Caenorhabditis elegans: one gene and its partner. The protein of the gene in region 1 interacts with the protein of each later gene in a pairwise test. Each region holds a gene or a part of one and is shown in the gene's direction. Other genes may lie near its edges.

What was found.
Region 2: the proteins of rfip-2 (region 1) and mfap-1 interact in a two-hybrid assay, tested with the Caenorhabditis elegans proteins (one study listed by BioGRID).

What each region holds. Positions count from the first base shown.
Region 1 is NC_003280.10:721,350-728,127, forward strand, and holds the start of rfip-2 (FIP-RBD domain-containing protein), read left to right. Parts: upstream 1-2,438; coding exon 2,439-2,484; intron 2,485-2,545; coding exon 2,546-2,674; intron 2,675-3,078; coding exon 3,079-3,232; intron 3,233-4,161; coding exon 4,162-4,427; intron 4,428-5,460; coding exon 5,461-5,764; intron 5,765-6,778.
Region 2 is NC_003279.8:8,636,748-8,642,701, reverse strand, and holds mfap-1 (Microfibrillar-associated protein 1), read left to right. Parts: upstream 1-2,465; 5' UTR 2,466-2,466; coding exon 2,467-2,624; intron 2,625-2,678; coding exon 2,679-3,468; intron 3,469-3,598; coding exon 3,599-3,871; intron 3,872-3,924; coding exon 3,925-4,104; 3' UTR 4,105-4,188; downstream 4,189-5,954. Other genes in the region: mog-7 (GCF C-terminal domain-containing protein), read right to left, coding at 570-841, 894-1,048, 1,093-1,231, 1,285-2,022, 2,074-2,175; cpn-1 (Calponin-homology (CH) domain-containing protein), read left to right, coding at 5,579-5,698, 5,827-5,954. UniProt on the Caenorhabditis elegans protein: Involved in pre-mRNA splicing.

The sequences.
Region 1 (6,778 bases):
CAGAAAATTGAGCTGAAAATTCGAATTTCCCGCGATTTTTCGGGAAAAAATGATCAACAAATCGTGATTTCAAGCCAAATTTCACCTTTTTTAGGCCGGAAATCAATTTCCCCGAAATTTTTCGTTAAAATTTGGTGTTTGCGGGCTTCTGGAGCTACAGTAACCTTATGGACAATCGAAAATTCAAAATTTCCACAATTTTCCGTAGAATTCGGTGTTTGCAGACTTCTGAAGCTACCGTAACCCTTATGAAAATTGAAAATTCAAATTTCCCGCAATTTTTCGTAGAATTCGGTGTTTGCGGACTTCCGGAGCTACCGTAACCCTCTTGACAATGGAAAATTCAAATTTCCCGCAATTTTTCGTGAAATTTGGTGTTTGCGGACTTCTGAAGCTACCGTAACCCTTATAAAAATTGAAAATTCAAATTTCTCGCATTTTTTCGTAGAATTCGGTGTTTGCGGACTTCTGAAGCTACCGTAATCCTTATGAAAATTGAAAATTCAAATTTCCTGCAATTTTACGTAAAATTCGGTGTTTGCGGACTTATGGCGCTACCGTAACCTTCGAAAAATTCAAATCATTAAAAAAAAGCTGCTACAGTAACCCGTAATTTTCCGTAAAATTCGGTGTTTGCGTACTATTGGCGCTACCGTAACCCTTTGAAACAGCCAATTTTTACTGAAAAAAAAAGCGGGTTTCGCAATAAATCCCCCCTTCCCAGCAGCTTATCACACTCCGCAGATCTGATAGAAATCGAAAAGTGTGAAGAGACAGAGATCTATGACGCAACTGTTGTGGGGAAATCCGAAAAAAGCGGAATTCAAGGACATTTTGGGAATTTATAGCCGAAAATTTCGATTTTTTCCAATTTTTATGGGTTAGTGTAGCCCCAAAAATACGCAAAAACACAAATTACAGCTGAAAATTTGGATTTTTCGCTGGAAAAGTGCCAAATTTGCACCTAAAAATCCAGTTTTTGGGCCATTTTTCCTCCTGAAAATTCAATTTTTCAACTAAAAACCGAGCTTACAAGTGATTTTTATCCTGGCAATTCATTTTTTTTCGTCTAGAAAATCAATTTTCCAGCTGTTTTCTACAGTAAAACCTGGTTTTCCGAAGCTTTCCCCCTCGAAAAATGAGCTTTTAAGGGGGAAAAGCTGTAATTTTCGTCTGGAAAATCGATTTTCTAGCAGTTTTCCCCCCGGGAAATTGGCATTTTGAGTGATTTTCAAGCCAAAAAACTGGGCTTCTGCTGTAATTTTTGTAGTTTTTTGACTTTTCCGCGGTTTTTCTAGTGGAATCTCAATTTTCCAGTAGGTTTCCTACCTTAAAATTGCAATTTTGAGTGATTTTTTGACCCTAAAAGGTTGATTTTTCACTGAAATTGTCAATTTTCAGCCTTTTTTTCAGCTAAAAATCGAATTTTGAATCGTTTCCAGCTGAAAAATCAAAGTTTTTACCCATTTCTCTGTCTGAAAATCGTTTTTCCACTCCAACTTTGACATTACACTAAACTTTTGTGGTGAAACGCAGAGAAAATACGTAAAATATTGAATTTTTCAATGTGATAACGGTCTCTTATCAGCCGAAAAACGTACATTTTGACGTAGTTTTTGAAAAAAATCAGTTGAAAATTGGGGTATTCCTCATTGATTTTCTCGCGTGTTTTTGTGCTCAAAATTGCTCATTTTGCTCGAAAATTGAGCATTTTTTACACTTTTGGAGCTGAAAATTCTCTGAAAATGGCTCCAGGAGCTCAAAAATTGACTTTTACAGCTGAAAATAGTCTTCAAATTTCAATTTCAATGACTATTTTTCCGAATTTTTGAGCTCGCAGAGCCCAAAACCTTCAGGAAAATTGAAAATTTCCTTGAAAATTCCACAAAAAAGTAAATTTCGACACAAAAATTTCTAGAAAAAGTAGTTTTTATAGCTGAAAATCGTCTTAAAAATTCGATTTTTAGACTATTTTTCCAAATTTTTAAAAACTCTAGGAGCCCAAAAAGAGCCCAAAAACCCCCATTTTCTCTCTAATTTTCCCAAAATTTTTCAGATTCCTCACTGCCTGCGCCTCCGCCTACCTACCTACACACATCAATCTCTCCTCCAAATAACCAGTTCTCTTATCAAATTGTTACTTTTTTTGTCTGTTTTTCCGCCTGTTTTTTGATGATTATCGATTGAAAATCGGCCGATTTTCACCTTTTTTTCACCCAAAATTTGTTGATTTTTTCATTGTTATTTTCCTTTTATTTTCCTTTTATTTTTATTGTTTTCTAATTTTTTTTGCAATTTTTTGCAATTTTTCTCCCCCCAAAAAACGTGAACTTTTTTATCAAAAATATTCAACTTTTTTCTTTTTTTTTTCTCTCAAAAAATCTGGTCAACCAAGCCCAGTTTAAATATTTTATTTCGATTTTTCCATCTCTTTCAAAATGACGATTTTTCGCTGGATTTTTGGATATTTTTTCGGATTTTGCAGTGGGTTTTGTAGCCACAGCTTTTTCAAATTTAAAACCAGAAATAAAGCGATATTTTCCAGGCACCGCTGGCCGTATCAAGGCGGGAAACGAGAAGGAAGTCGAGTTTAAGAAACGAAAAATCGTCAAAAATCAGCCGAGAAATCAGGAAAATCAGCCGAAAATGGAGCCCAACACAATGCTTGCACATAGTGAGTTTGGAGGCGCGAAAAATCGATAATTTGCGTGAAAAATCGATCATTTCAGTGAAAAATCGATAACATGCGTGAACAATCAATAATTTGCGTGAAAAATCGATAATTTCAATAAAAAATCGATAATTTCAATAAAAAAATCGTTAATTTCAGTTAAAAATCGATAATTTTATTGAGAAATCGATAATTTTAATTAAAATCGACTATTTGCGTGAAAAATCGATAATTTTGATTGGAAAATCGATAATTTCTGTGAAAAATCGATAATTTTCAGTGAAAAAATCGATAATTTCAACTGATATTATCGATTTTTCGTTGAAAATTATCAATTTTTAATCAAAATTATCGATTTTATCATTGGAGCGCACTGGCTGTCCCGCGAAAATTCAAAACAATTACAGTAACCGCCGCCCGTGGCCTCTACATGAAGAACAAGTCATCACTGGACGCCTACGCTACAGTAACCCTACAAGGAAAAGGATCATTGCGGAGTCGATGTTCGACGGATGTACTGAATACAGAAGGAGAATGTCGTTGGGATGAAGTTTGTGAATTGTGAGTAGTGGCTGCTCCGAATGGAAAATGAGCTCGAAATTCGGATTTCTCGTGATTTTTTATGTCGGGGACTGGATTTTCGGAAGATTTGGAGCTCCTGGAGCATTTTGGAACTTTAAAATTTGATTTTCCCGCAATTTTTCGTAAAATTCGGTGTTTGCGGACTTTTAGACCTACCGTAACCCTCTAGACAATCGAAAATTCAAATTTTCCGCAATTTTTCGTAAAATTCGGTGTTAGCGGACTTCTGGAGCTACCGTAACCCTTTAGACAATCGAAAATTCAAATTTTCCGCAGTTTTTCGTAGAATTCGATGTTTGCGGACTTCCCGACCTACCGTAACCCTTCTAAAAATCGAAAATTTATATTTTCCGCAATTTTTCGTAAAATTCGGTGTTTGCGGACTTCTGGAGCTACAGTAACCCTTTAAACAATCGAAAATTCAAATTTCCCGCAATTTTTCGTAAAATTCGGTGTTTGCGGACTTTTAGACCTACCGTAACCCTCTAGACAATCGAAAATTCAAATTTTCCGCAATTTTTCGTAAAATTCGGTGTTTGCGGACTTCTGGAGCTACCGTAACCCTTTAGACAATCGAAAATTCGGTACTAGTCTGAAATCACCCCGCCACTTTTTTTAATCATTTTAATATTATCCATTTTAATAAAACGTGATGTCCATTTTCCATCTTTAGGCTTAGAAATGGTTATTTCCTAAGCCTAAAAATACAACAACTCCACACGTTTTTATTTGAAAATTTATTTAAATTTAAAGAAAAAAAAGTGGCGGGGTGATTTCAGACTACTACCGAAAATTCAAATTTTCCGCAATTTTCCGTAAAATTCGGTGTTTGCGGACTTCTGCAGCTACCGTAACCCAGTCGAAAACGAAAATTTTGTAGAAAATTCGCAATATTTCCAATTTTCCAGCAAACTCTCGGACAAGTTCAACTCGGTGGTGGTTGCAGTTCACGCCAAGGCAAAGCTCGGTACAAATGAGCTCATCGGCCGCTGTGAGCTCGAACTCGAGAATGCAAAGATGCTCCACGGACAAACGAATTGGCTCCGCCTTAAAAAGAAGACAAACGACGAGAAATATCGAGGAGAAGTACAGATTAAGCTCGAGTTCAACTACGAGAAGCCATCGATGAGTGTTAGCTCATTGTCGTTAAATCAGATTGGAAATGAGCAAGAAAGTGAGGAAATTCACGTCGGAAATGCTCGCGGAGCATCTTAAAAGCCGGGAAAATGTCGGCTCTGAGAGCCCAAATAGTGTTTGCGTAATCCTGGAGCTACCGTAACCCTCGAAATTCGATTTTCTGTGAAAATTTCGAATTTCGCGGGTTACGGTAGGTCGAGAAGTACGTAAACACCCATTTTTTCGGTCGAGATTTGAATTTTCAGCGGAAAAATTCATAAAAGCGTTCAAAAATCGATATTTGCGGGCTTTTCAGTCAACCGTAACCCGCGAAATTCAAATTTTTGAAAAAAATGGAGTTTCGCGGGTTACGGTAGCTTCAGAAGTACGCAAACACCCATTTTTCGGTCGAGTTTTGAATTTTCAGCGTAAAATCGATGAAATGACTTAAGATTTGGTCTTTGCGGAATTTTCACTCTACCGTAACCCTCGAAAATAAAATTTCTCGGAAAATTTGAATTTCTCGGGTTACGGTAGCTCCAGAAGTACGCAAACACCCATTTTTCGGTCGAGATTTGAATTTTCAGCGGAAAATTCATAAAATTGCTCGAAATGTGCTCTTGCGGGATTTTCAGTCTACCGTAACCCAAACATTCAAAATTTCTGTAAAAATTCGAATTTCTCGGGTTACGGTTGCTTGGAAAGTACGAAAAACCCCATTTTGCCGGTCGAATTTTGAATTTTCAATCAAAAAGTTCGAAAATTGCATCAAATTTGGTCTTTGCGTACTTCTGGACTTACCGTAACCCAAAAATTACAAATTTCTGTACAAATTTGAATTTTGCGGGTTACTGTAGCTTCAGAAGACGCAACCACCAATTTTCTCGGTCGAATTTTGAATTTTCAGCTTAGAATTCATAAAATCGCTCAAAATTTGGTCTTTGCGGGCTTTTCAGTCTACCGTAACCCTCGAAATTCGAATTTTCATAGAAATTTGGAATTTCGCGGGTTACTGTACCTCCAGAAGTCCGCAAACACTGAATTTTACGACAATTTTCAGTTTTTTCATTAAAATTTTGCCCATTTTTCAGAGTCTTCCAGTGGTGGCGGTGGCCTAATGTCGAAAATGAAGCGAAAAATCACACAAGCCAAAAATGGACACAAAAAGGCCGAAGATACAATGTCAATGGCCTCTGCGTGGTCCGCTACGAGCAAAAAATCGACAATTTCCACAAAATCTGGCAAATTTTTCGGCAAAATTGGCTCCAAACTGGGCCTAAAGGATAAGGAGAAGCCGCTGCCAGTTGGAACATTCCTCACGCCGATGGATAATCATTTGGATGGAGGAGGAAATGATTATGACTCGACGGGACGGGGAACTAGCCGGAATTCTAGGTACTAGAATTGCGTGGAAAAATGAGAAGAAATGGACAAATTGGAGGTTTTTGAGTGAAAAAATGGGATTTTTCGACCATTTTGAGCATGAAATCGGATAAAATTGGAAAATCTTGAGATTTTCAGGTCAAATTTGGCTCTTTTTTGAACTTATTTGCTCTAAAATGAAAATCGAGGCAAAATTGCAATTTTTCCCGCAATTTTTCGTAGACTTCGGTGTTTGCGGACTTCTGGAGCTACCGTAATCACGGCCTCCTGCGCGTGAAATGCGCCAAGCGCACGAAGAAAGCGACGCGCTGTGACTTCTCTGCGTCTCCACTCTCTCGCGCGTGACGATAGAGCTCATTTGAAGTGCGTGTTTCAAAGACGGGAGACAGTGCAAATTTTAAAATAAAAATATGAAAAATGAAATGAGACGGTTTTTTCCAGCATTTTGACTACCCAACGAGATTTTACGGTTCACTCTGAAGAAATTTTTATTTCGTTATTATTTCCCTCATACTAAGCGGCTCTGAAATTTTTTCTAATTTTTTTTGTTGTTTTTATATGAAGTCAATATCAAGAAGCATTATTCAATGACAAAAAATATCAAAAAATTAAAATCTTGTTTTTAAACATAGTATGCCCGTTTTTGGCAGGACGATATGGCTGGTATGGGCCAAGAGAGAAAAAAGTAAAAATCTTTTCTCACCGACTTTTAGAGAATTTTGAGCTTATTTTATTTTGACCACAAGCATTAATATCTGTTGAAAACTGACGTAGTTTTCTAACTAGGGAACCGTCACAAGGTGCCACTCGCTTTTTGGACGAAACATGTTTCATGTGAAAGCCCATGTTGAGAAACGGTAAAATGTAAATTTTTAGCTGCAAATTTTCAGAATTGAGCTCAGGGTGAGCATTAAAAGATGCTCACATCAGTACTAACTGCGCACTCCAGCCGCAATATTAGCGTATCGGTGAGGGTTGTGGTGGTGATTTTATGTGAAAAATATTATTTTTTGTCCATTGAAACGT
Region 2 (5,954 bases), on another chromosome or scaffold:
AATATATAGATTTTGATAGAAATAATCTGAACAAGAATGAGATTTTTTTTTCTAAAAAGTGAAATGTCATAGTTGTGAGAGATCGTCTATTGTCATATGGGAAATATTTTCACATGATTATTGCGAAATAGAAAAAAAAATTGAGTATGAATATCTATGTGTGCGATGAAAGAAAATAAAAACAGAACTCAAACTAAAGGGACTATATTTAAATTTTAATTAGTTGGTTGAAAGTATAATTAATGGGGTTATTCAAGTAATGTCGGAAAATTAAAAAGTGTAGAAAAATTACGTCACCTTATTCAAGTAGATAAAAACATGTATTTAAATACATTTGTGACGTCACAAATGTACTTAAATACATTTTGCTACATTACTTGAATAATCCCATAAATATTTGTTCTACATTTTCGGAAAGTTTTAGAATTTATAAACTTTCTGAATTCGTAAAAAAAATTCGTGCCGAGACCCATCATTTTCAGCTATGATTATTTTTAGAAAGCACAGATATTGATATTGACAGATTTCCCACAGACCTGTCAATTAAACTATTTCAAAAAAATACGTACCTTCTGGCGTCACGTTCTGCTGCTCTTCCAGCGGCCTCACCCATTCTTGCATTTCTTCCCTGCATACATTCTGCATGTTGATCCCTCATGTCTTGTCTTCTACGTACCGAGAGTCTTGAAGTCCTGGATTTCCCACAATCTCTTTTCTTATCGATAATCGAATTAATTTCGCCAACTTTTTCATTCAGACATTCTAAAAGACTACGGGAATACACTCGTAATTCTTGATACATTGTGTATTTGGTACTTTGGTTAGGAAGCTCCATTTCAATCTGAAATTATTAAAAAATGATATATATATATAATTATTGAAATACTTGTTACCTTTGCAATCATTGATTTGTTTTCTTCAATATTTTGCTCCAATTTTCGTTTTTCTTCTTTTCTGAAATTCAATGCTTCATCTCGTTCTTGAATCCGCAATTTTAATTTAGCAAGAATATCTTCAATTTTTACAACTCCTCCGGTATTTGATGGTCCTGAAATTAATTAAAATTATTTGTCTTCAAACAAAATAATATACCAGTAAATTCCGGTTTTCCAATTACTTGAACATCCATATCAAGATCAATATCCATATCCATTGCTGTGTCATCTTCAACAGGAACTGTATGCCCAAATAATTTAGAAGTATTTCGTTTTTCTGTTCGCAGTTGGCCTATCTATAATTTTTAAATTTTCAGATTCACGATCTCTATTACCACAAAAAGCTCACCTCTCTCCGACTAACAGCTTTCCGAATTTGTTGTTTTTCCCATTCCTCATTTTCACTATCATCATCACCTTTTATTCGTTCAGCTTCATCAATATCTCCATTTTCTCGTTCTAAAAATCCTTCTTGTTCTTCTCTACGACGATCTTCTTCTGTTCGAAGTAGCTCACGAGCCGAATAGAATTTATTTGTACACTCTTCATCCGAATCATCATTCTCATCTTCTCGAATCAATCGATTTCGTTCACTTTTAGATTTAAGTTTTTGTGTGTCATCCAAAGGAATATATCCGTCTTGATTTCCCTCTCTTCTGGCTCGTTCTCGGCGTTTTTTTGCTTCGAAAACGGCACGAGAGTCGGGAATACCTTCAAAAGCAGAATTGAATTTATTGGAAACTGATGAAATTGCTTCTGCATCAATATCCAAATTTTCTTCGTATTCGTAGCTCTCCGAATTCGAAATGTGCTTAGCAGATTTGTCACGATATTTGTCAAGGTATTTATGCCGCTCATTTTTCGTCTTTTTGTCTTCTTTTGAGAGTTTCTCCTTTTTCACAATTTTATCAAGCGCTTCCTTACGAATTTTCTCTTCCTTATATAATTTTTCAGCTTCCTCCTCTAGTTTGTGTTGACGTTTCAATTCTTCAACTTTTTTCTTGTCTTTCTTAAGTTTGAACGTCGAATCAGCTCCTTCATCAGCATCGAAACTCATGGCTGGACGAGGCACAGCAGGTTGTTTGACCTTTAAATAAAAATTAAATTAAAAAGAATGTTGAAATTCATTAAAACTCACTTCGATAGCCGAGACTACTTGTTGGTTTTCAGCATCAGGTTCATCCCATCCGTCAGATTTCCGTTGGCGAATAGCACCTTTTGCCTTTGGTTTACGGAACATTCTGAAAAACGTTTTGAGTAAAAAAAAAAGAAAAAAATGAGCGTTTAGCAAGAAAATTTGGCCAAAATTGATATTTGAAAATATTTTCGTAAACGAGACTGTCGTAAGATGTGCTGTTGGGTCTGCATACACCACGTGAGGTACTCTTTATGCATTATAACTTACGAGCAATTTAATGCTTATTATTTTTTTCGAAAAATTCAATTAAAAATTTTACATATTTACTCTTTATTGTTTCTGACTATTTTTTGCCGAAATTAAAAAGGGTTAATTTTAAAAATAACTTTCAGAATGGGAGATTATGTACCTGGATTTGAACAACGCGAAAGCGATAATCGAAGTTTCGGACATTCGCGTCTTCCGACTCTTGGAGCCATTCCAATCAAAAATGAGAAAGGACAAACTGTTATGCAGAAAGTGAAAGTTTCAAGATATGTGGCTGGAAAGGCGTAAGTTTTTTTTCGTTTAATGGTTGAATTAGTCTTTAAAACATTGATTTTCAGACCAGAATATGCTCGTAACTACGACAGTGACAGCAGTGAATCAGACCGAGAGACAGATCGAGATGATGATCGAAGAAGACGTAGACGTCGTGAAAGTAGTGATGAAGAAGATAGAAGACGCCACAGAAGACACGAAGATTATGGTAGACGACGACAGGTGGAGAAGCCAGAAGTTCTTGGAAAAGTAGAGGACGAATCATCTGAAAATGAACAGGAATCTGAAGAAGACGAAGAGAAACAAGAAGAGAGAAGAGAAAGAGCCAGAATGAGAAGATTGGAATTACATGAAAATAACAGAGAAAAAGATGAAGAACAAGAAGACAGTGCTGAATCAGATGAAGAAGATTTTGAAAGAAGACGTCAAATGCTCAGAGATAGAGCTATTAAAAGAGAGGAAGAAATAAAACGAGAAATTAAAGAAGAACTTGAAGAAGATGATGTTGAAGAGGAGGAAGAAGAAGAAAGTAGTGAAGAGGAAGATTCAGATGAAGATGACGATCCAGTTCCAAGATTGAAGCCTATTTTCACAAGAAAGAAGGATCGTATCACTTTGCAAGAAGCCGAGAAGGAGAAAGAAAAAGAAATTCTGAAAAAGATCGAAGACGAAAAAAGAGCTGAAGAACGGAAGAGAGAAAGTGCAAAATTAGTTGAAAAGGTTCTTCAAGAGGAAGAAGCTGCTGAGAAAAGAAAAACAGAAGATCGTGTTGATTTGTCATCTGTTCTAACCGACGATGAAACTGAAAATATGGCATATGAGGCGTGGAAGCTCAGAGAAATGAAACGATTGAAGGTAAATTTTTGCTGCAAAATTTTGAATGTAGATCTTCGAAGTTTTTTTTTTGAGTTTTTTAATAAATTGACATAGAAATTTCTCAAAAAAATTCTCACTATAATATCCGATATCCAATTTTTTTTTGCAGAGAAACCGTGACGAACGTGAAGAAGCCGCACGCGAGAAGGCAGAACTTGACAAGATTCACGCAATGTCCGAGGAAGAACGACTCAAATATCTTCGTTTAAATCCAAAGGTTATCACTAACAAACAGGACAAAGGAAAATACAAGTTCCTTCAAAAATATTTCCATCGTGGAGCTTTCTTCTTGGATGAAGAAGATGAAGTACTCAAGAGAAACTTTGCCGAAGCTACCAACGATGATCAATTTGATAAAACTATTCTGCCGAAAGTTATGCAGGTAAATACTCGTAACTTATTATAGTGATAATTGAACTAAATTATTTATTTCAGGTCAAAAACTTTGGAAAAGCATCTCGAACCAAGTATACGCACTTGACAGAAGAAGATACAACAGATCATCAAGGTGTTTGGGCATCAACGAATCAGTTGAATTCTCAATTCTCCACGAAAAGAGCCGGAGGATCCAGACCAGTTTTTGAGAGACCTGCAACAAAAAAGCGAAAGAACTGAAAAAGCTTGCACATTCCTGAAAATCCCAATTTTTTGTACTTCGATTTCTATTTATTTGTTTTCTAAGAATAAAAAATGTTTCAGAGTAATTGTGCGATTAAAATACACCAGTACAATACGTGTTGCAGTAGCAATTATTCAACGCCAAAGTTCAAAGTTCTCGTCATACCAGCTAATGCAAAGGACAAACACAACTGTGTGTTCGAAACAAAAAAAACCAACAGACGGTTCGTTTCTCCCCTCATTTGGTTTGTGAACCTCTCCTATTCGGACTTTCAAATGTTTTATTGAGAATTCCCATATCGACTCTCGTTTTCATATTTTTCAAATGCATTCAACCTAAACGAGCCGCTCACCATTCGTCCTTGTTTTTTTCTATTCCTTTTCAAGGTTTTCGTCATCATGTTGTGAGGAGTGTGTTGTCGATCGCCACCTTTTCCGATCGGTCGACTCTTGAAAAGTGGTTTTGCGTTTTTAATTAGAAAAGGGTCATTGGCGTGTTTGTATGCATGTTTGCAAAGTGTCCTATTACCGGTACAGAGAGTGTAGATAGTTAGAGAGTGACAGACATCCGGGACCCAATGGGGCGGGACGCGCGGAAGAGACGATTTGTGCCGATTTACGAAATTTTCCTCGTTGTCATCATTTCGTAAATCGACACAAATCGTCTCTTCCGCGCGCCCGCCCCATTGGGTCCCGGATGTCTGTCACTCTCTAACTATCTACACTCTCTGTACCGGTAATATTTCTTTCAAGAAGTAGTTTTCGTTTTCTTTCATTAGTTTTATGTTTTTTATAAACCAGGATATTAGATCGTAGTTTTCTTATTTGAGCTGCAAAATCTCTTTTTGAAAAATTTTTCCATGCTTATGTAGCTTTCATTTTTTTATCGCTCTTTTTAGATTGCGACATAGAACCAAAGTAACTTTATTTTGAGTGCCTCGAGCTCGAGAAAGTTCTAAAAATCTATTTTTACAATGAAATATTAATAATTTGCTGAATTTTATTTAAAACATCTTCTTTTAATGTTGGAGAAAAAGAACAGTATTTTCAAAATCAAACACAAAAATCTAGCGATCACCACAAACTTTTGTTTCGCTATGGGACCCGGTACTGTTGCCTCTTGAATGTTCCTTTAACTACAAAAGACCGCCTGAATTTTAGGAGCGCTCCTGAGCACATTTCTCATATCTTCATTCAAACCGGCAGTTTTCTCCCGAGAGCACTCTTAAATTGTTATTTTTGGGCTATTTTCGATTAAACTCTTCCAATTCTTTTTTATCAAACACCGTTCAATCAAATGTTCCTTATCAAAAACGCAAGACGTAGGCGGAGAACCAAAACTTTGCGATGAGTCAGAAGAATTTCACCATTTTTGGTTAGCGGAGAGTGGAAGAACCTCTTTTGTTTATAAATATTTTTTCTCGTCGTTAACTATACGCTTTTTTTCTTTCAAACTTATTCGTTCTAGAAAATGTCCGCTTTCGCTTCTTCGGATCGCGCTGAAAAGTCTGGAATTGCATTGGAGGCCCAGCAGAAAATCTACGAGAAATACGATAAGAATCTTGCCGGAGAAATTCTTCAATGGGTTCAGGTAATTTTGTGAAACTTTTCAAACGTTTATTGATTCTTGGCAAAGTCATATGTTTACATTGCAAACGAAGAAAATCATACAAATAAGTTATGCTCCTTCTTCGATTCACGATTTGAAACATTTTTCAGAACGTCACTGGCCAATCTTTCGACACCCAAGGAGACGCTGACAACTTGGTCAAGGTTTTTCAAGATGGAAGTCTTCTCTGCACTCTTGCCAATTCTTTGAAACCAGGAAGCGTCAAGAAGGTCAACAC